3 linked regions of the Drosophila melanogaster genome follow. The gene in region 2 interacts genetically with the main gene of each other region. Each region holds a gene or a part of one and is shown on either strand. Other genes may lie near its edges.

Region 1 (7,066 bases), on a different chromosome or scaffold from region 2:
GTCGCTGCCTGATGTTAAGTATTCAAACCTCAAATCTTGAACGTATTTAGCTTAGCTTAGCTATAAGGTATGTAGATTCACTTGGCGAGCAGCCCACCTTAAAGACTTACAAATAAAATACGGTTTCCTCTAGAAAAATACGATTTTTCTATTGAATAAAAAAATGCATTGAGCGCAAAAGAAACGAAAACGAAAATATTGACTTAAGCTGGCGGTTCTATAAGTTGGTAGGTGGTTCGATCACCACCGTGGGCTTGAGTCCCAGCTGCTTTGCTTTGGCCTCGATTTTGCTGTCGTGCGTCACCGAGGGTCTCCACAATTGTTCGCCTCGCTAGAGCAGGCAACCCTAGTTTACCCACATCCTCGTCGTAGTGCGTCATCAGCGGATGCGTCACCTTGGCAGTAAGCTGCACGGTGCGCGTAATCTGATCGCAGTGTCGGGTTCCTTGGGTAGATTAGTGCTGAGGAAACCCAATGACACTTATCGATGTGCTGACATAAATATACTAAAAGCATCAAAGTTTAAAGAGGTTTAACTATTGCGTATAACTAGTAGTCTTAGCAATACACTTTTAATAAGCGTACTTCTCAAGTTTCAATCGCAATGAGAGCTTATAACTATTTTAATTATGATGATTAAACACTATTTGTGTTGAAAAACTAGTTAAATAAAAAAAAGTCGAATAATTACATTTTGACATTTATATATGAAATTATACCGAATAAAGTCGAGCAAGCCAAAACTTTTAAAGAACTTTTGGGGAAAATTCATGAATTGTTTAGTAGTTCTAGGTTTTGGTATATATTCGGTGCTTATTCCAGTAGAGAGACTCCCATTTCATTAATTATCGAAATGTGGGTAAACTTAATCAATCAATCATAAACACAACAAATGTGTGTGTCCAGATCAGATTGTTTCTTTCCATAACTTTTTTACTTCTAGCAATTTCCAGCAAAAGCAAAATCCACCAAAGCCAATGGGCCATTCAACGAAGGCCACTTAAACATTTTCTTAACTAAACCAATTACTGGAGCGATTACTTACTTTACCCTCATTTTTCCAGTTCAAACCCTGGTGGAGACCAACCTGTTCTCGGACGCCCTGGCCGCCTCCATCGAACCCAAAAAGGTGGTGAAGCGCAAGCGTACGTCTGCAACATCGCCCACGGACAAGGACGCGCCACTGGCGCCGCTTAAGTTCTACCAGGATACTCTGGACGAGTCGAAGAGCGAGGAGAAGTCGGACGACAGCAGCAAGGAAAACGATGATGCGCGCTCCTCGTCACCTGGCAAGGACACGGATGCCGATGACGACGACATTCCCCTTAAGAGGGTCAAGGAGGACATCGAGCAAAAGGTGCAGAAGGCGAAGGCTGCGGCAGGCGGAGAAGGCGGAGAAGCGGGTAACACCTCTGACAACGCTGAAGATCTTCCCGAGGAGCCCAAGAAGCCTGGACCTGGCTGTGGACCCGATGGACCACCGGGAGTGCTCACGCTGCACCGCCGCAAGGGCCCGAAAAAGAAGCTAACCTGGCAGTCAGAGGAAAAGCTCACCCAGATACGATACTTCGAGGTCGATCGCTCAGAGCGCGTAAATGTGATGAAGCAGACCTTCCTGGAAATGAAGAACATGGAGCGATTCAGCGAGCGGGACGCGCTGACCATTGCTCGGCGTGGATTCGACGATACCATGGAGCCGCAAATGGAGTGGCGGCCACTACTCGAAGTCGATAATGTGCCCGACCACCCGAACGGAAACCTCTCCAAGCAGCGCCAGGTGCAGATGGACAGGGAGGCCACCACTCTAAGAGCCCTGTACTTCTCGCCCGACATGATTCCCGACAGTCCTGCGGAGGCGGAACTGGAACCGCATTTTGCTCATGACATTCCCGTGATACCCATGGATGACCTGACGGGGAATCCGGATGCTGTCAACGACTACAGTGCCTTGGCGTGGCCGGAGCCCAAGAAATACGCGCCTAGCTCGGGAGTCGGAGCAAATATCAGCGGATCGGACATGGGCTTCAATGACAATATGTTGACCGGACTGGGAGCTGGACCGAACCTAATGCAAAATCCATTCGATCCGTTCATGGGAGGCATGCCTGCTCCCACGGGAATGCCACCCGGACCAAACATGATGCCAAATCAAGTGCCCAACGGAACGCCGCAAATCTGGCAGAACCAAATGGGTCCGGTAGGTGGGCCGCCCGGTGTACCGCCCATGATGAACGGACCCGGTGGCCCCGGAATGGATATGAGCAATATGAACATGAACAACATGCCACCGCAAAACTTTATGGGCAATCAGTTTGGAAGTCCAGTGTCTCCATTCGGAAGCGGCCCACCACCTGGATTCAATCAGTACCCGCCCATGATGATGAATGGACCAGGTCCGGGACCGGTAATGGGACCCAATGGTCCAGTGATGGGACCCAACGGCCCCATGATGAACGGCCCACCCAATGGACCCATGATGAACGGGCCGCCCAATGGAATGGGGCCAGGACTGATGATGGGCGGACCTAGGAATAACAACAACAACAACAACAGGAACAAAAACAACGGCGGCGGCATCTGGCGCAGCGGGGGCAACAACTTCCAGGAGAACTCCGGCGGCAACTGGCGCTCAGCAGGATCTGGCCCCAATCGAGGAGGTGGAGGAGGCAATGGCAACACCGGCGTCTGCAAGCAGTTCATGCGAGGACACTGCAACATGGGCAAGAACTGCAAGTATGTGCATCCGCAGAAGAAGCGCTTGTAGGACCTACCCGAATCTTCTGCGGAAGATTCAGCTGCATAGATCTCAGACGCGCAACGGAGGCCAAGATTTCCGAAATCGAGTCCCCACATGAAGACTGTATCCAGGTTAGCCGCCGCAAGTTAATCTAAGTGTATATATGTATTCGGTATATTTTTGTGTAGACGCAGTCTATCCCTAAGTTTTTAGCCTAAGATCTGGGTTCAATTCCCTGCCCCGCTAACTTTATTATTATGCTGATTACCATAAGGTTAAATATTTATAAGTTTAAATTTACACAATTAAATATCAAGTCATATGATGCAAAGCCAATGCAGTTGATTTATTTAGTGAAACGAATTGAATGCACTTTTAGAAACGATACTTTTGAAGTTTTAGTTATTAACATAGTTGAGCCAAACATTACGTTTGCCATTAAACCGAACAAGATGTTTGCTGCCGGGTGCTGAAATCGATGTCTGCAGAGGGTATGCCATCATCATGCGGTGCTTGCACTTAACCTGAAACTTTTGTGGCTTCCGTTTCCAGGCCCGCGACCCAGAATTGACTTTCTACTCGTATAGTTTCCACAGTCCAGTCTTCGTTTCAGTTACGTGTATTTCATCAGCGCGTTAGGTCCGTAAAATCATGAAGTCATTGCTCAATCGGATAATCCTGTGCAGCGCCTTTCTGGCCGTGGCCAGTGGTCTGAGCTTCACGGTCACGTCTCGGATCTACATGGATGTGAAGCACAACAAGAAGCCGGTGGGCAGGATCACGTTTGGACTGTTCGGGAAGCTGGCTCCCAAGACGGTGGCCAACTTCCGGCACATTTGCTTGCGCGGCATCAACGGGACCAGCTACGTGGGCTCGCGATTCCATCGCGTGGTGGACCGCTTTCTCGTCCAAGGCGGCGACATTGTGAACGGCGACGGAACTGGCTCCATTAGCATCTATGGGGACTACTTTCCGGACGAGGATAAGGCTCTGGCGGTGGAGCACAACAGACCCGGTTACTTGGGCATGGCCAATCGGGGCCCGGACACCAATGGCTGCCAGTTTTATGTGACCACCGTGGGCGCCAAGTGGCTGGACGGAAAGCACACCGTTTTCGGCAAGGTGCTGGAGGGAATGGACACCATCTATGCCATTGAGGATGTGAGTATTCAAGCAAACCGGAACCACAATCGTGGCTTAAACGCATAGCCACCACACAGAAATGTAAGAAACTTTTTCTGACACATTTTTCGTTCCAGGTAAAAACCGATACGGATGACTTCCCCGTGGAACCCGTGGTGATCTCCAACTGCGGCGAGATACCCACGGAGCAGTTCGAGTTCTACCCGGACGACTTCAACATCCTCGGATGGATCAAGGCGGCTGGTCTGCCCGTGACCAGCTCCTTCTGCGTTCTGCTCATTTTCCACTACTTCTTCCGCCAGCTCAACATGTACTGCTGAGGACTTTGGAGTATAAGCTTTATTACTGCACATAAGACTAAGAAGCCCCCATACACTCCGAATGGAATGAAACCCACAATAAATGCATACAAATCTTAAGGACTTCACTAGGATACGAGCACGGCCTTCAGTAGGATGGGAAGAGTCGGTCCCATGTGCAACTGTGGGATACGTGTTAGCATTTAAGGATTAGCTCAGCTTATGTCAGTGTAACTTACATCGATGAAGAGGTAGTCCTCCACGTGCTGATCCTTCTTGTAGAACCGCGACTCCGGCTTAAAGAGCCCAACCATGGTCACGTCCACTCCGGAATAGTTGGACAAGCAGCCTGAGAAGATCTTGGCCAGCGTGAAGTGGTGCTTGTGGTCTGGATAAACGGAACGGTTCAGGCTGTTGTAGTATTCCTCGATTAGGCGTCGGTCCTTGGGCGCCAGATCCCGCTGGTGCTGGACCATAGTGTCCAGGTCAAAGGAGTGGGCGTGCTTCACCTTGGGATCCTGCTCCGCGTCCATCAGTCGCTCCATCATATTCCTGTACTTTTTCTTAAAATACTCCAGTGCCGTGCACTTCTCAGCCCAGAAGGAGAACTTTTTGTCGGAGCTTAGGGATATTGATATTATTTGAGTTTCTTATAAATTAAAATGCATCAGATTATACTACTTACTGCTTGGCATCCGTGACATTGAAGTCCACATATAAGCCCGGAATCCTGACGGCCGTGCGTGCTGCTGCAATGAGTTTGCCGGGTCCGAAGAAGTGCAGCTTTAGCTGGAAGCGCCGCACGGAGTTCCTGGCCATGGAACCCAGGTCAAGGACGTAACCGTGCTGCTCGCACGGAATGGGTTGGACGGTGAAGTGCTTCACCATAGCCGACTGTTTGAGTCCCGGTGAATTGTGCATCTTTTGGTAGGTTTGATGGACCTGCTGGTGCAGCTTGTACAACTCCTGATTTGAGCGGAGTCGCTTTAGGTACCGCTCCGCCAGGATCAGTTGCCTCAGGACGGTGGCATGGGGCAGCTCCTGGTTGTTGTTCACCATCACGTAGGTGTGGACCATGCGGAAGAGTTGAAAATCGTGCGCTTCCTTCCGCTCGGAGGACATTTCGGACTCGCTGGCGGAGAGCAAAGAGAAATCCTCGGTGATGGATGGTTTTTCCTCCACTTGGTTCTCCTCCTCGCCATCCGCGCGTTTCGGCTCTTCATCGACCTCCGTGATGGAGCGAAATATCTCGTAGTGATAAATCTTTTGCAGCATCCGGTACTCCTCCTCCACCTCCAAGGGATCCATAGGCGCAGAAGGCAGTGGAGAAGCCATTTCCAGCATGGGCATAACGCCCTGCCCCCTCAGATGAAAGTAGCTGGAGTCGCTGTTGTTGATCATCGCTCCGAAGGAATGGCGGAAGCTCTCGCTGAAACCGAGAATGCCCTTCACACGTATCTGATTCGCTCCGAGTGGCTCCAGCTGCATAATATCACTGGTCACCAGCTTGCAGTACCCGTCCACCAGACGCTTCTCGCGGGCCTGCTCCTTGCTGCCCGGGGCCTTCACCTCGACGACAACCAACTGGAGCGGATACCTGCTCAAGTTGTTGACACGCAGCGTGGTATCGAAGGTCTCGTACCAGGGCTAGTATTTAGATAAATGTATTGACATAATCTTTTCTAATGGTTTCCAATAGTTAGTATACCCACCTTAATGCCCATGTAGATGCTCTCCTTGTGGAACTTTATCTTCTGCGGCAGATTGACCAGTGTAACGGTGAATCGCTGAGTACGTCCGCCCAGGATGACCAACTCAAAGACGGCCCGCATCTCGTGGTTCCGCCGGATGTGCGGCAGATGGAGCTTGCACTCCAAATCCATGTGATCGACAACGCCTCTCTTCTCGTAGAAATAGATGAAGCGACTCGAGAAGCAATACTCCGAAGAAGGCTCCGACCACTGATCGCTGGAATCGATGTGCAAGCGATTAAGAATGTCCGATATGGTTTCCCGCACCACACTTGTCGAGCTCTGATCGCTGTCCTCCAGGTCGTCGGTGGGATCCTTTGGCGGGAATAGCAATGGCTTGTGCCTCAAGTCCATATCGTTGATGACGTCGTCCAGGAGATCCAGAATAAAATCGCCCTCCTCCTCAAATCGACGAAACTGGCAGCGACACTCCTGGTATCTCTTTGTCATATTTGGCTGGTCCTCGCAGCTGAAGTCGTACTCCAGCATCCGCAGAATCTCGGAGAGAATTTCACCAGCTATGCCATTCGGGTCATCCTCGTCGCCTATGTACACCTCGGTGGTCTCCAGCCTCTTCCACTTGAACTCGGCTGGCATACAGCCTTGGTTGACCAGATTGATGATGCTGTCGTAGGCCTCGCCGCGATCGAAGAGGACGAGATCGGGTTGCAGGATCACCACATCCGGCACCATTATGGCCAGCCGTAGGGGAAGGGATTTGAGCTGCTTTCCCAGCGCCATAACCATGATCCTTCCTTCGATTTGGCGGCAATATTGGTTCTTCAGGCCACCTCTGTTGAGAATCACAAAGATCTCCTTACGCTCCAAGTCATTCATGCTAATCCTAATCTCTTTTTCGTAGGTGTCTTCGTAGAACTCCTTAATTCTGAATGGACCGGTCACCTGGAGTGTGACCTCAGCGATTGGCAACGAACAGGGATTAAACAGTACTGGCGTCTCCACATAGGATCGTTCCTTCAGTGGCTCACAGCGCTTGTAGTTAAAGTTTAGCTTGGGGTATAAATAATAATAAATTAAACTATATATATGAATCCTAATGAAATGCTAACCTGCTTTGGGATCCAATGCAGTTGACAGTCCACAAAGTCGGCGGAAGTCCTAATCCTTATGATGTG
Region 2 (8,548 bases):
CTTTTGAAACTTAATAAAAGCTACCAATAATTTCCATTCAGTAGATTCAGTTAACACATTCAGAAGATGGTAATGGATTTTCCCATAGAATAGCTTTATAACCATACTACTAAAATTCCATATTAATATATATTATTTCCTTTATGTAGAGTTTATTAAACTATCCCTAAAGTTTATGAAAGAAATACTTTTCCCAAGTGCTTTCAGTTTCATGTGCGAACTCAATATACAAAAACTGAATGTAAACATGAGTAAAAGCCTGATACATTTGAAAAATGATTCGTCCCGTGACAGATGGTGGTTTCAGCTTTCAAGTTATTGATGTTCGACTGTATGTGCAGCAGGAGCGGTACAATAATTACTTATAGGGGAAGAAGCGCAGAACCAAGGGCTGCGGACAAAGAACGCGCTGGTAATGAAGTCATTGCCCAGCAGTTGCAGTTGGCCAGCACGTGGCGCTCCCAGATGAAAGGACAGAACGACAGGAGGAGGACAGTGGGCCGGGAACCAAGGAAGTAGGTCCAAAGTGTGCGCAAGGAGGCGGGACTGGGCATTGTGCAAGGTTAGGGCGTTGGCTTGCCAGCGCCTCGTATCGCTAATGATGCTAAACCAGCCTGGATCGCTGGATTGCCCGATGACTGACTGACTGATTGATTTGTGTAAACTCTGACCGCTCTCATGTCAATCTCTGCCGGGTTGAATGTGGAGCAAATGTCAGCGCACAGCAGCCAATAGCTGTCGCCACGATTGATGGCGAACTGGAGCGACTGGAGCACAAAAACGGAGCTGTAATGAAGAGTACTTGGATGGTACTGACGAAGACTGCATACCCTTTACCACCAAGATAGAAGCAATATAGAATGCCAAACTGATCAAGCAATATTTATTAATTTTATGGAAACATTTTAGGCATTACATCGTAGGACATATTCCCTTGGGTAGAGCATCCCATAAACAATGAATATTGGTGCTTATCTGGGCGAAGAAAACCCATTGAAGCGGCACAATGAATAAAACTTGGCACAGAGTCTGCCACTGAAGATGCTGTACGTAGTACATCGTCCGCAGCAAATCATCCGTTGTCGTTCGCTGGCTCTTTTATTTTATTTTGTTTTATTTTGTCTTATTTTATTTTGTTGACTACTTCCCTGCCCTGTCCCCGCAGTAATTTGTTAAGCGCTGCCATTGAAGCGAGAAGTGCGACGAATGCGAAGATAATGGAGCATCCCAGTCGAGGAGAAACCAAGACCAGCACATTGTGCTGCCCAAAGAATATCCAAGATTCACTTGTATTATTCGCATGTGTGTTATCACAACACGCAACTTGATTTTCCACGCCGGTTACACAGTGGTAACCGTTTAAATGTAGACTGTGGTGCAGGCAAAAATATATTTGCTGTTTATTTATTCTGCTTAAAGCTTGATAATAGATATAATATTATAGATATAATATATATATCAAGAGAAACCAGCAACATATTCCAAGTAAAATGTGTAACGAGAAAAATAAAGTCCATAGCAAGCAAGTTTCGATTCTTGAGATCTTAAATAGTTTTTACCATGTGCACTGAAGCGTTTTTCTTTCCCATTTCTATATTCTATCTACCGAGTAGGTTTTATATTAGCATACTAGGAAATATAATTAAGATGTAGTTATTTTCAGATCAGAATCAGAGAAACGTTTCAAATCAAAATCAACCATATGAACTTGGACAAATATATATTTTGTCTGCGAAATAAACATTTTTTTAGGTGTTCGTAATTACGAAAGCATTTAAATTGGCAACACCTGGGCTGGGGGGAAATTGGCAACGCGACAGCCGAGCGCTGTGCGGGAAAACTGAGCGCGCGGAAAACTGTGTGTATAAACACATCAAATCGCAGCGCAGCGGCAGCAACAACAAACAGGGAAATCTCTTTGAGATACACTACACGCTGCATGGAAAGGGGGGGGGGGCGGTGCGGTGAACTGGGGGATGATGATGCTACAAACAGTTTGTGTACAAAAATAAGTAGAAAAGTCGCTTTTCCTCCCCGCTCGGTAACGTGCGGGGGTGGTTGGCATGGTATCCGGCGTTTCGCGGAAAAACGCGTGAATCGCCGCAAAAGGCAGCAATAAAAACAAAGGCCGCGCACGTGACGCCCAGCGGGGGGTGGTGGGTAGCTTGGAAAAGTGGGTGGCACACCGCCTACTCTTATTATTTACTCACCAACTCCGTATTTGTTGTTCGAAGGTATCCACATTTTGTCGCTGCTGCTTCGCTGCAAGTTAAGCCGAAAAAATCCAACTTAGCCGGCCACTCCTTGCATTTATAATTAATCAACGGTTTTTTGAGGAAACACCCTTTTCATCGGCAAATATCTGCATTTGAATTCGCATTTATAACGGCCAATATTTATCAACAATTTTTCGCAATAGCACACATACACACTCGTACACATCTACGCACTCAATAAAACTTTCGCTTTTGTTGTTGTCTATCTCCTTCTCTTTCTCGCACTTTATCTTGTTTAATAACTACAACTACAAGCAGAAAATACACTTGCTACATTGTTGTTGTCGCTGGAAGGCAACGATCGCGGTTCCAATTGGCAATGATTACCGCTAGGTGGAAGAAAAGGAAGTGGCTGATTGGGAAGTCTGGAAGTGGTGGCTTTGCTTTTGTTGCCTTTTTCACGGACCCGCGCACACACAAACAAGAAAATCAATACGAATTTGGGACTCCCAGCCGAACTTCCAATTGGATTTCTACACTGTGCGCAATTTAAATTGCTTGTCCCTTGGCTTCGCGAATTATTACCGTTGTTTTCTGCTGCACTTGCAACGCGTTTAATTTTCGCTATTTTTTGCGTTTTATTATTTTTCGCGTTCTCCGCTGCGCAGCTTCCCGGGCGCAGCAACAACAAATATCCGTCCGCCGCTCAGCTGTTTGAAGAACAACAACAAAATTCGGGATTCGTCGGCTTATATACGTTGCAGTGTGGCCAGTTGCTAAGCGATGGATTATTTACTATTGCATTTTTGAGGGAATTTTCATTTTAGCGGTGACGGTCACACCGGTATTTATGGTCTAGCTAAGACCCGAACCAATTCGCAGTTACAGTTTTGGAGGCACATTCATTCAATGTATTCAATAATTTAACAAACAAAACAATACCAAATCCGTTTTAATATGCAGTCCATAGCGTTGGTCTGACTCGGCCCCATTAACTCTATCCCATTTTTTTTTAAATTTTTTCTTTTAAATTAACGGTGTACGTATTACTTAACCGAGATATATAATGAATAAAATATAAGCACTAAATCTTTAAGGTTAGAAAATAAATTGCAGTATAAATATATTACGAACGAAGTAAATATTCAAGCGATATATATGATCCCAAGATATCGCTACATTCTCCCATCCCTAGCAGCTATTTCTTGTTGGTTTTTCGAATTCTCGATATAACAGTCACACTGCTCGCCGCGGTTGGTCGCAATTTTTGTTGATAAGCGGACTCGGAATTTCGGCCGCGCTGCGTATTTGTTTTGTCGCGAAACAAGCCAAGAATCCAAATAGTGGCAATATCTGTGGGCAAACAAGTGATAAAGCGGGAAATGTGTCATCTGGTGGGCGAGGAAGCTGCCGAGAAATTGTGTTTTTAGTCAAGGTACGCCAATCGGAGAATCTCTGGGTTCGTGTGTGTGTGGGAGTATAGTCGCTGACTCTTCCAATTGGAATTGTTCTTTTTGGGCCTGACAATAAAACGCAGAATGTTTACTCAATAAATGCGCACCATATACAGCTGGCGAATACAAATGTGTTTAGCTCAACTTGGAGCATGAGATACTCTTTAGTAGTTTCCTGTTCTCCTGCCGATTCCTTTTACAGGAAAAATCAATAAAGGTCCCAATCAGAACGCGACTGCGCCCTAGTGTGGGTGTGCAAAGTGCGTGCATGTGTGTGTCTATGTGTGTGAGTGCTCCTTTATCAGTTGGAAAACGCAGTGTGTTTCGTTTGTTTCGTTGTTGTTGTTTTCGTTTTAGTTTTCCAACAGCTGCAAGTGATTGTGGCACGCCTAATTGATAACTATTTTCGAGCACTTCCATTCAACTTCACCTCAGCATAATTAATCACCGCATTAAGGAAAATACGTTAATATCGGCACGCTCGATTGTCTTACATGCCCACAAACATGGGAGAAAAGGAAAACACAATTCCACACTGCATGCGCTCGTATTTAGTTTCCCTTTTACTTTTCTACAATTTACATAATCATCATCTCGCGGCGGCAAAGACACAAAACAACCGGGCAGCAAAACAAAAGTGGCGTTCATTAAACCAGCTCATAAATGCACACACAGAAATCATAAGTACATACATATGTACATATGTACAGTAGTTAGTATGTAGTTTCATTATTTAATGTTTTTGCGTACATTTCCCTGTGGTTTGATGGCTCGCGGTGTCATCATCTTTACCGCTTTTCCTTCCCCCGCAAATCTTCCATTCTTTTTTCTTTGATAATTCTGCCGCGAATATTTCGTATGCAAAATGTGTGCCAAGCCAAAAAACCGCACAGTGGGTGGGATGGGGCGATGTGGTGGCAAAATTGGTTATTAGCTTAATGGGAATTCACTTATTGGAGAAATATTTTTTATTTTTGCTATTCCCTTCTAATTGTAATTGTAATTGTACCATTTTTAGGGGAGGGTGTGACGAAAACCACCCTTCAGATCATCAATCTGCCAAAAAAAATATTTCCCTCTTTCAAATATTTCAACCTAGTATTCATTTTATCACAACAAATTACACTTTCCAAATTAGGTATTCATATGTCGGTTTAAAATAACTTTTAAGACCTTACCCTCTATAAGGTGATGAAGCTTTATCTTTCAAAATCCAAATCTGATCCACCCATGCTACACAAATGCTTAATTTATATGCATATTACCAAAAATGGAATTGTTCATTCTCATAATTCATTTAATTATGCAAATATTTGGATATACAATTATCAAATAAACACTTTTATTTATTCTTTTACACCTATCAGTTTAAGTAAGTGCTTAGTAAGTCTTACTAAGCAAGTGTTATTCAAGCAATAAGTCACATTTGTTTTTGAAATCTCGTTATCTCTGAAAGAAATAGAAACTGGGTGACTAAAAGTTTGTCAGTCTGATTCACTTTCTATCCGCTAAACTATGGCACTTGTATTTTATTTCAAAGCGTGGGGTTGTTTCTGTTTTCGCTAACTATGCGAACCAATTTAGTTTCCCAATACAGTTGACTCGAAACGCTTGGAGTCGAATTGTGTCCATTGTGCAGGGCTGATTCCCTTGTGCGACTCGCTGGCCGGTTAATGACACGAGGAGTCGTCTCTGGGGGACCGGGTACACGGCTCTTGGCTAGACAAGTGACGCATATTCTCGCATTCTTTGGGGTACTAAAAGTATCTATGTCGTATCTAGATACTTGTGTTTGTCTAATTCGCGGATCGTTGATTCATCGAATCGCTCTACTCTGCTCTGTTCGTCTTTCGAATTCTTGGCCTCGAGAGCACTGATATCGTGACTCTTGCTAAATGTTAATCGGTGGAGCCGAACTGTGTGCCTTATCAAGGCGGTGATAGTGCCGGCTGATCACATATTTTATATATTTGAGGCCTAGGCAAACAATCGATCGGCAATGATGAACGATGGCCACTGTGTCCAGTGCGGCATTCCAATCGAGTGGCTTGGATGGATGGATGCATTTCCGCTGTTACACAAGCGATTTGCATTTCACAGCCACTCAAATTGCGGTTACCACTTTTCGTTCGCCGGCTGTTTTCGCTCTTTACGCTGGTCGCAATTAAAATTTGATTAATTTGCCAATTGGAGCTTGAACAAGTCGACTTGTGCGGAGCCAGAACTGGTACACGACCCGGGTCATTCCCAATCCCAAACTCAATCCACTTGAAGTCTTGAATTGGATTGGGTACACAGTGAAAAAATGCTTGAAAATACAAGGTATCAAATCATTTGTTATATTCCTTTTCATTCGATATCTAAAATTATGCAGTAAATAAATTGTGCCATACTTTAAGACACTTTGTAGATTGATTTAAGAACCCCAAGGATTTATTTGACCCTTGATTAAAGTTGTGTAAATAACTTAATAGTGACCTTACGTTAGTTACGTTATTTTCTCTCTGTGTACATACATATTTATGCACTTCTGTCCGTCCACGCTCAATTTTACGCTACAATAACAGCTGAAAAAAAAGAAGTGCAGCACCAAATTGCATTTGCACATAATTCAACGGTAGCTCAAATGAGAAATATGTCTTGTGCTTATGGAGTGTGTGTAGCAACAACAATGAGAGCCGAGGCAATATAATATATCTGCTGAAAACGCATCTGTATCTTTCTTCATGCACTGGAAATTCCGCAAAGACGACGCCGTGTGCCGCTAACTTTCTAAAAAGATGCAGCGCCAGCTAATCATGATAATGACTTAGCTGCTCATTTGCTATTGTGGCTGCCGCCACCTGAATGTTGGCCGATGATTAAGTTACAGAGCGATAGAGCAGGCAATGCACAGAACCTGCCACAATAGGCGAATTCTTCTGGGATACAACAGCATCCAAGCATCTGCTTAGAAAGTCGATCCTACCGAGCAACCTTATAGATAGATAGGGGTCGGCCAATTAAAAAGTGAAAAGCTATTAAATTGGTTTCCCATTAAGATGAATTTATATATTTCGCTTTTATATTTTATGTGGTGTTCTAAAATAAAACAACAAGAACTACAAGAAACTTGAGGCTTTGGATCATTTCCTTAAAATTTGGCGCAATGACTTCACCGCTTAAGATAGCATTTATCTTGGCTGGATTTTCATATCATAAAGCTGACATACATAGTTTCCATCGATCATAAAGCGAGTCATATGCTCATGATGAGTTAAGTGTAGGCACTAAACTGACGACTGCCAATATTTTCCCATGCTTAACTTGCTGTTTTAACTTTCCTCAGTTAAATAAACTATAATTAAGTTGAGCTTCGAATGAGTGTTAAGAAAAAAGAAATATATACATTCAATATCATCTTTTTCGAGACACACGCCTATGCCTTTTTACATTTTTGCTATATTTTCCATCGAATCACCTTTTAAACTTAATACTGTTGCCTTTCTTAGCGCTGCCCACATCTAATATGTCTTATATGCATCCATGCAACTAGCTGACTCGTCTCTGTTTGAGTTTTGCCCATCGGATTACTACAGAGATTGGCGGGCAGAGTGGTGGTGGTGGTGGTGCGTCTATAATTAGCCCACGCCCTGGTCCGGCACTAAATTTATAGCAATCTAGAGTCTCAATTGTGCCTTCGCTCACTGTGTTTTCCTATCTGCTTTCCTTGCAGGCCATGGAGCATTGACTTGCACCACTGAGACCCCGAATCCCTAGTCCCCGATTCCCGCCAGGCCATGTTGGAGCCAACGCTGACGCCCGATCTGGAGGAGGGCATCGCCGAGCTCAGTCTGGAGGACGTGGATGTGGACTCGGTGCCAGAGCGTAAGCCGCACTTCCTCGACTACGACGCAGTGCCCCCGCCAGACTATGAAGAAGGCTTTGGGGCCAGTTCCGGGGAGCAGCTAAAGATGGACAAGAAGTACGAGCGGGATGGCGAAGTGAGCGACTACGAACTGGCCGCCAGTGGCTATACCAAGAAGGAGTTCACCCAGGACGACAACACGCTGCACTTCACCCAGAGCGCAGTCGGACTGGGATCCGGAGCCGTTGGTAAAAAACCAGCAGCCAAGCATTTTCTGGACGAGAACCCCATTCCGCCGGACTACATGTTGGCCCAGGAGCTGCGGGAGATGAGAGAACATCGCAGCCTGGACAGGAACTTCGAGCGACAGTCGGCGCAGCAGCAGCAGCTGGATGAATTGCCTCCGAGGAATGGAGGCGGCTCTCCAGCCAGCGCAGGTCGTCCATCGCGCAGCAAGGAACCATCTTACACGCTCTCCCGATTTCTGGACGGAGATGCACCTGCCCCTGCTCCAAGGCTGCCCAAGGGAGCTGCCTGGACGACCAGCTTCGATGAGCGATACACCTCCTCGGCAGTGGAAGCCACCTTGGGATCCAAGGTGGAGTGTGTTTACTCACTGCTCTCCATGTTGGGCTCAAATGATCCTCTCGAAATGGCCAAAAAGTTCCTGGAGCTGTCCGGAAATGCTCAAAGTTGTGCAACTCTTAGACGCTCTGGTTGCATGCCGCTTCTGGTGCAGATGATGCATGCACCGGACAACGACCAGGAGGTGAGGAAGTGTGCTGGACAGGCGCTGCACAATGTGGTGCACAGCCATCCGGACGAGAAGGCTGGCAGAAGGGAAGCCAAGGTGCTCCGACTGCTTGACCAGATCGTTGACTACTGCTCCTTCCTGAAGACGCTGCTCCAGAGTGGCGGAGAGGCTATTGCAGATGACTCCGACCGTCATCCGCTGGCCGCCATCTCTTCACTGATGAAGGTGAGCTTCGATGAGGAGCACCGACACGCTATGTGCGAGCTGGGGGCATTGC
Region 3 (8,489 bases), on a different chromosome or scaffold from region 2:
GTCCCACCGCCGCAGGAACTTTCCATCAATGATTTCGATGAAGCGGTGGTCAGTTTGGAGACCGGTATCCAGAAAGGCAGGATGCTGTCTATGGGCACCACTGTCAGCACAGTTATTCCCCGCCAAATGCGTACGTATCGCAAACGAAAGCAGCCATTGGATGATGTCGATATCAAGATCCAGAAGGACTACGAAGTGCAAACGGATCGGCAGCGGGATGGGGAACAGTTTACAGTCTTTAATGCCGCCGAACCCAATACTAATGATTTGTCAGAGTCTGCGGCCGAGATCTCCATCAGCAACGACGAAGAGGCATTGAGACACCTAAGAGCGCTCCAGGAGTACGCCATGATCCATGATAATTTCAGGGCCATAGGACTGCTAATACAGGTGGAGCACGCCATTCAATATCCAGCCCAGATCAAGGACTTCGAGGTGGATCAAACGTAGTGTCCTTATAAACAAGCACGTAATCTACTGGAAAAGCAAAGATAAGATAAGGCACATACCTAATTTATACCTCTATATTTAAGATTTTAATATTTTATAATATATATACTTTAATTTACTTTATTTAAATATGGTTCATGCACTTGCTAACACCACTGAAAAATGAATCTGGTTCTAAACAAATCTGGCTTGGGTATTGGCTAAAATATTGCGCTGTGGCAATACCGTTTTCTAAAACCTATAGTTACAACAATCTAAAGGAATTTCACAAGAAAAACCAACATTTCTGAAATCTTATTAGTATTTTGAAGAGTAACAAAGTGAATCCTGCCGAGATCAACGCCGATCTGTAAGCAAGTTCGTCTTGGAAATTGACAAAAACCGAAAAATCTGGCAGCACCAATATGACACTAAAGGTTCAAGAAAAGACCTTCGGTTGCACAAAATAGAAAATTCAAACATAATTGAAAAGAATTAACTAGTATCGTGAAAACATGTAATACAGTTAATAAAAAGTTATAGTATTATGCAATATTGATCAAATGAAGCAAACTTTATCGATAACTTCGAAATTGCAACCCTAAATGCATCGGATGGGCAATACCAATCTGAAGTCTACAAAAAAGCATATTGTGGAAGTCTAAGTTTTGTTAAATTTATGGAAAAGGAATCCAATTTATCGGACAACTTGCAGTCCCGGTTATTTGCACTGGGTCCTGCCCCGCCAGGATTTCGTCCACCGGATGCTACCGCCTTTGCCACAGCGGAGTCAAATCTTCGTAATGCCATCCGCTACCTTAATGATACCTATGGCGAGCTCGATCAGCTGCGCACTGTCATCCAGAAGGAGAAGAATAACTCGAAGCGTACGTCCTACAAGGCGCAGTCCATGATGCTTGCCATGCAAGTGATACGTTTCAAAGGACTTATTGGGAAGTACAGGGACATTCTGATTGGCCTGCAGGATGCCGAAATCATCAAGGTCAAACAATACATAGAGCAAATGGTGGAGATGAGGAACAAAATCCAGGCAAAGACCGATCCCACACAGCGCGAGTTCCAAGTGGGCAGCTCAATCTCACTGGTGCAGGAACAGCGCAAGACCAAGAGAATCTGCCGCAGGTGGCGGGATCGCCTGGTCCAGCTGACGGAGGCCAAGATGGACAAAACTGAGCAACTTACTGAGAAACCAAAGCTGATCAATGTAAGAACCGTTACAAAAGAACTTATACATATTTTCATTGCGCTTCCAATATCCATCCATGTTTTCATGAAAACTCTCATCGAATTCTGATCGAATTTCGACTGAACTCGATATGCTTTTTTAGAAACCTAGAAATATGTTAAATGCAAAAACCAACAAGTGGAAGGAAGCTGTAAGCTTGGTGAGTATAGCCAAACATATAAAGGATAAGTTAAATGCTAGTAAATATAAAACTAATCCTAGCAACAAAGCGGTCTAATTAAAAGTGGCTGTAAGAGGTGTGAATACCTAAGAAAGCTGACTAAGAATCGTCCATCCAAACTTTGTAAGGTGTGTAAAAAATGGTCTGATGATGAAAAAGCAAAAGCGGCAGGAAATAAGAAAGCCAACAAAACGCCAATAATGGTATGACACTATTGAAAAGTCGCAACATAAATTAATACTATTATTGCAGGCGAAGTCGAAAAAATTAGAAGTACGCGTGCGTACGGATTCTGAAGAAGCTATAATTAAAATAGAGATAGAGGTGGGTGTGTACAAGTAGATCAACAGTAACATTAGCACTTATTATTAATTTTCTTAGCATGGTGAATTTACCGATGAAGAGGAAATTGGGTCATTGGAAAAGGAAACGACCTTAAAAGATGAGATCAAGGAGGTTAGTTGTTTCTTCAACCTGAAAAATGTGTTTAATTTTGGAATGTTTTTTTTTAGACTGTTGAATCTCACGACACGGCAGCAGTTGAGGTAAGTAAACAGGTCCTTGGACTGTAATAGAACTAACGTAACGATAAATGACTCAATGACAGGAGGAAAATGAGACCAGTCAAGACGATGTGGACCCCAAAGTAGTCGCTTCCTTACAAAATTCACTGAAATCCATCGACTGTAAAAATATGGCCTTGGCCTACGTGAAGGTCTTACAGGAGTACGCCATGTTAAATGATAACTATCGGGCCATTGGACTACTTACTGAAGTTGAAAAATCAGTTTTAAATCCGCCTCAGAACGAGGATTTCGATCTATGATCTTATTGACGCCACAAAAATAAAGTTTAGTTTTTATATGTAATCTACAATTAAAATGTTCGTGTGTCCTGCCTTTGAGAGTCAAGACCCAAAATGTGTAAATAATTGTAATATGCGAAAAGAGTTTATAGAGTGGAATAACCAACAGGGTCCCACTTAAATGTGGTAAACGTTAAATTAAGCACTAGATATAATTTGAGCAAAAATAGCTTTATATATATGTATGTGTACATATCAAACCAGTTTCAGCTCAGATTAGGTGGTAATGCGATTTGTGTTTTTCGGCATGTTAAACCAGTTATAGCTGCTTTAGCGAGAGAATATTTACTCTCGATCCGAAAATAAATCCCATACCGCGAACGAATACCACCACGATCGGAATCGGAACGTGGGAAGTCGGTTTAGATCGCGAGAGAAAGAGCGGAATGTCTCTCGCAAAGATACGGTTTTTGCCGCTCCGCCAAACGGAGGAGAGTCCAGATCTCTGCAATGTTCGGACCGCATGCTCAGTCATTGAGTTGCACTCGCTCTGGCAACTTTAAACACGTGCGACCGCACATATTTTCTGTTTAATGTGCCTAAAAAACTGCTGTATATTTTCAACAAAGTGTACTTTATGCTCTAAGCTTTCCGACTGAGGTATGTAAACAAGATTTCTAGCTCTTCTCTGTATAATAACTATTTCGTTTTAATTTCATTGTTAAAGGAACAGAATTATATTGGTCACGTGAGGAGGGGGGGCCAGACTGGGAGTGCGAGCACGCTAAGAGAGAGTGGAGAACCTGAAAGTGTGAGAGCGGGAGTGGAAATGTACTCTGACGTAAGTATACTTTCGTAGTGAGTAAGTGAGAGTGCAATGCTTCGTTTTAGTAAAATCTTTTGAAATTTGTTATCTCTGAGCTAAAATATGCGAGACCCATTTGCGAATAAGAAGAGGGCATGTTTTGTAAATATACATACATAAATATGTATAAGGCATTCATGATATACACGCATACAGATAATTTGAGTTCTGTATCAATAACATACATGTAACTAAGCCTAGAAATCGGATTTTATAAAGAAATAAACCATGATTCAATTTCAGAATGATGACACCCACAAAAACTCGAATGGATCGCATCGCATACGGAACGTGCTGACTTTGGAGGAGCGTGTGGCTGCCATCCGACAGTACGACATTGTGCCCATGTACAGTAAGATTGCGAGGAACTTTAATTGCAGCTGGGAGCAAATCAAGAGCATAGTCTCCAATCGGGAAGCCATCCTGGAGTTCCACAAGGCCACCAATCGGCTCAGCCAGCCGGCCAATAAGGATGCCGAGCTGCGCCGGCGCAAGCTGAACTTTCTGGGCCACTGCCTGTACGAGTACATCCAGAGGGCCCAGTTTTACCTCCACAGCGATGTGAACGAGGAGATGATCCGCAACCGTGCGATCGAGTTCCGGGATCTCATGCAACTCGATGGTTTTGTGCCGAACAAACCGTGGATCAATCACTTCAAGGCCGCCTATAATATAACACTGTCGAATCGTCAGATCACGATAGTCCGCCGACCACCACGATCTATGGACTTGAGGGACATTATGTCGTACTGTGGACGACACACCTCGATGTCTTGTAGCTTAGCGCCTAGATCGCCGGAACCTGCGCTCACTAGCAGTGATCGACCTCTTTATCGTACAAAGACATTGGTCACCACCTCTAGCCAAAATCAAGCCACCTCGGATGAAGTGCACCTGCGTAGAAAGCGAAAGTTAGCGTTCCTGGAGAAATGCGTTTATGAGTACATCCAGCGATCACAGTTGGTTCGCCAGGGTCGTCTTGACCTAGACAATTTGCGCTTTGTGGCCATTAGTTTAAGGGACATCCTCAAAATCGACTCCTTCTTTCCCGACAAAGTGTGGTTGAAGCACTTTAAGAGTCGCTATAACTTTAATTTCACGGTGGGAGTTCAGGTGACGAACCGCCGCTTGCCGCTTTCCCTGGACCTAAGAGATATAGTTAGTTATTGCGGCCGGAATGAACATAAGATCACGCTGGACCACAAGAAGTCGCAGGAAGAACTGAGCCAGAGCGACAAGCCAGAGGTGGACCAATGCCCACAGGTGGAACCAAAACCCGAAGAATTTGAGCACGAAGAAGACGATGATTGCGTGGCCATTGAAGTGCCACCTGAGCTCATAGAAATAAAGGATGATGAGGATAATGACGATGAGCATAATGATAATGAGGATTTGCCAGAAAGGGCTACTAAACGAAAATCAGACGAGAACGGCGGCCCAATACCATGTGGCTTGAAGATTCAGAAGATTCAATCGCTCAATGAGTCATTGCCTGAGGATACGGAACTACTTCCAGCCAATAGTCCCGGTCATTATTCAGAGACCAGCGATGAGGCACATCTGCCGCGCTGCGTAGAAAGCTACAAGGACGCACTGCGTCTACTGAAGCCCCTGGAGGAATTCGTCCTAATGGAGGAGAACTATCGAGCCATTGGCCTGCTCACGCAGCTGGAGAAGATCTTTGAGTCCGCTGCGAAAAAGAGTGAGGAAATGGACAAATCCTTAGAATAAGTACCAAACCAAAAACATGTGCCTTAGGTTATAAGTATGTTTAGATCTTTGAGTACCCTCTGCAGGGTATAAGATAGGCTTTATGAAAACTGCGTTATTTCACTGAAAATGTGTATTTAATTTAAAACAAACAAGCAAGCGTAAACTAACTATTTGTAAATCAAATACAAGCTTCAAACACGCATATAAAATGAATATAAATATTATGTAATTGTTCTTGAATAACATGTTTCAAAACGAATACGTTTACCCACCGTTCACTTGAATAGTAACAAAGATTGACATTGTCAAGGTGATGCACCCATATATCTGTTCTCATGGCACGGCTATCTGGGTCTTTGACCAGGTTTCCAAGCTATAAGGCAACTTTCCACTCGCCCCAGCGAGACTAACAATCAGCGCTAAAACTTTACGTTCGTCCTCTAAAACTTTACGCGATGGTGGGATGTGGGATGAGACTGAACGAGTCCGAATGACCTGCAACGAAGTTGAAGTTGAACGTGCGTGGAACAGAAGCTCCGGAAGTGGGCAGATGGAGAGGGCGCACCGTAGGTGCTACATCAATTCTAGATGGGAGTACAGCCGGAGGTGGGCTGCGGAGGGCGAAGTCCGAAGGGCTGAGGATATATGGGGGAAGAGGATGCCAGCAGCGCAGCATCCCGGTGAGGGACCTTGCGGTGCCAGAAGGTGGACACTCACAATCACACTCGCACCTACAGATTGCAGAGCATATATGTAAGTGCACTGAAAGAAACGTAATCGCTTGTTGGTTTTGTTATATAGTATTTAAGATAAATATATATACCTGTTAGCTACATTATAAGTTATGAAGTTGCTAAGTCAAGACATATCGGAAATATGTAGAAAGTGTATTAAACTTTTGTCGCAGTGTCGATTGAGGGCGCTACGATTACACAACCGGGTCTATGGAGCGTTGGATACGCCACATCGCCATTGCTACATCGCCATCCGTTCCGGTTGCGGCAAAGTTTCGCCATACGATGGCAACCCTCCTGGGCAGCAGAAGCTGAGCAGGAGCTTCAGGACTTTCGTTTCAAGGATTTCCGACCGACGTCGTCAGACTCGACTGACGGCGACGGCTTGAATATAGCACTCTTACAGGCGAAATACCTACGAGTGTAGGGTAAGGTGCTCGGGGGCTGCCCGATAAAGGTACAACGCGAAGAAGAAGCAACATCAATGCAAACACAACAACTTTGGCTCAGGTTACTGCCACACGGCTGCGCCCCAAAACAAAATTGAAACCCCAGCGCGTTAAGAGCTCTGACATAAAACCCTGAAAGCGGAATTGCCGTTGAGGGATATACGACGAGCAAGAGGACAGACTATATATACCACTTTCAGCTCTTCAGCTCCCTCAACCTCATTCTCATCCTCATCCTCGTCGTCGTCATCGTCCTCTTGTGCCGCTTCTTCTTTTTCCCTCGAGTAGCTGGGGTTCGGCATATAGTACATATGCCAATCGCAGGACTGAGAGGATGTAAGGCCGAAGGGCATGTAAAATGTCCAATTGGGTACAGTTGACGTGGGTTTCGCCGGACAGGCAGGGGCTTATGATGTTGCACAACTGTTTGTGATCGGTGGATGAACAAAAATTTAAAGGAAGGAACTCGGGAAAGGAATGAACCATCAAGAGTGTCATGATCCAAATTATACCTATACCGAGGGTACTATAAATACATATATTAACTTCATCTCATAATTTGTTGTATGAAACTCGAGGCTTATAAAACTCGAAGCTTACCACCATTTCAATTGGAAGTTGCATAAATTTGAGTGCGCTTTTATTCCTTCGTCTTTATAAGAAAATTCCTTCGTCTTTATAAGAAAATCGTAATACGTAGCATTTTATTAGGATTATAAATGTTAGAGCTCGGGGGCCTATTCTATTTATGGCGTTTATATAGCGCTTCTGGTGTAACTTTTTTTATTGTGTCGGAATCATCGAGTCCCACTGGTTCCAAGCGCTTTTCTCGCCCACAAGGGTGGCTCATTGGGATTGGCGTGTCTAACTGCCATGCAGTGCTCCCCAAACTTTATGAAGGTAATTTTATCTTTTATATGTATATAGAAAACTTTTCATTGTCAAAACCAGGACAGCTGGGGGATATGGTTCTTTTGTTAATTTTAAAACGTTGAATACTACCCTTTATTTCTAAACAAGGGACTCTTTTTTCGATATTTAATGTTTCATTAGAAATGTGATTAAATTAATTCGGTGATTTACCTTTACTGGATTTTTATATGTCACCTAACTCGATGAGTAATAATTTAAAGATCGTTCGATATGCCGGGGAAATTGTTATGTGAAAAGAAAAAAAAGCCAATTACCTGGCTCATCATCATAGCCCCGATATCCATTAGCATCCTGTAAATGCATGCCATTTCATTTATTTACTTTGGCTGGCGGTTAGTTGCGTATATAGTATTGATTCTTTCATCATACCAGACTCACCCAATCGACCCCTTTAATCGGCAAACATACAAACGATGCCATAATCGTTTCCATTGTACGCCAAATACGTACAATGGCTCGCCAAAACTGTAGACCCCGGCTGAAGAGCGACTCTACGAATACCCGTTCATCTAGAGTGCAGATATATGTAGCTATATATATATATATATTTGTTTCGAACGGAAAACGTGAGAACTGACTGTATCTGATGGCGATGGCGATGGCAATGGTGGCGAAACAAGTCTGGTGCTCTAGTCTCTGGTTTTGCTACTCAGCTTTATACCCCGTACTTCTTATTTGGGTTGTCGGTGCGGCATAAGCCTCTTGGGCTTTGGAGGCTGCTGCAGACGATGACGACGATGAGGATGAGGATGATGATGATGATGGCCCTTGAGCCGAGACTCTGGAGGTTCTGATGATAATGACGATGGGCCCTCAGCTTTCTGTCATGCGCCGCTTCAACATGGCGAGTTCGTTTCTTATTCTCGCACATCGTCTTTCCTCGCCTCCTTGCCACACAACCCTCGATAGATGGTTATCTATCTGTATTGTGCAGGAGATGACGAGCGGATTCGAACTAGGGTACCAAAGAGGCTATCCTTTCTGACGCCCATTCCCTGCGAACATCCGAAAATATCCTTCAGGCTGACGGTTCCGACAACGACATGTATTGGATTTCATTTGGGTTAGCTTTTGGGTTGAACAAATCGATTTGCCATTTTTTTTTATTATTTTTTTAAGTGAATTGTTCAGTTT

What was found.
Region 1: of Apc (region 2) and ninaA, changing one suppresses a phenotype caused by changing the other (phenotypic suppression), as found in Drosophila melanogaster (one study listed by BioGRID).
Region 3: of Apc (region 2) and CG13895, changing one suppresses a phenotype caused by changing the other (phenotypic suppression), as found in Drosophila melanogaster (one study listed by BioGRID).

What each region holds. Positions count from the first base shown.
Region 1 is NT_033779.5:873,974-881,039, forward strand, and holds ninaA (neither inactivation nor afterpotential A), read left to right. Parts: upstream 1-3,328; 5' UTR 3,329-3,388; coding exon 3,389-3,898; exon of another isoform or gene 3,899-3,996; coding exon 3,997-4,200; 3' UTR 4,201-4,297; downstream 4,298-7,066. Other genes in the region: PNUTS (phosphatase 1 nuclear targeting subunit), read left to right, coding at 1,065-2,764; CG15824 (uncharacterized protein), read right to left, coding at 4,308-4,361, 4,419-4,800, 4,865-5,826, 5,892-6,941, 7,001-7,066.
Region 2 is NT_033777.3:28,839,663-28,848,210, reverse strand, and holds the start of Apc (APC-like), read left to right. Parts: upstream 1-3,462; 5' UTR 3,463-3,651; intron 3,652-5,927; exon of another isoform or gene 5,928-5,992; intron 5,993-7,385; 5' UTR 7,386-7,449; coding exon 7,450-8,548. Other genes in the region: spg (sponge), read right to left, coding at 2,211-2,244.
Region 3 is NT_037436.4:702,903-711,391, reverse strand, and holds CG13895 (uncharacterized protein), read left to right. Parts: upstream 1-3,186; 5' UTR 3,187-3,321; intron 3,322-3,388; 5' UTR 3,389-3,490; coding exon 3,491-3,502; intron 3,503-3,692; coding exon 3,693-3,713; intron 3,714-3,769; coding exon 3,770-5,257; 3' UTR 5,258-5,444; downstream 5,445-8,489. Other genes in the region: CG13896 (uncharacterized protein), read left to right, coding at 1-450; CkIIalpha-i3 (CKII-alpha subunit interactor-3), read left to right, coding at 1,035-1,082, 1,145-1,654, 1,779-1,835, 1,898-2,059, 2,109-2,180, 2,238-2,312, 2,369-2,401, 2,464-2,682.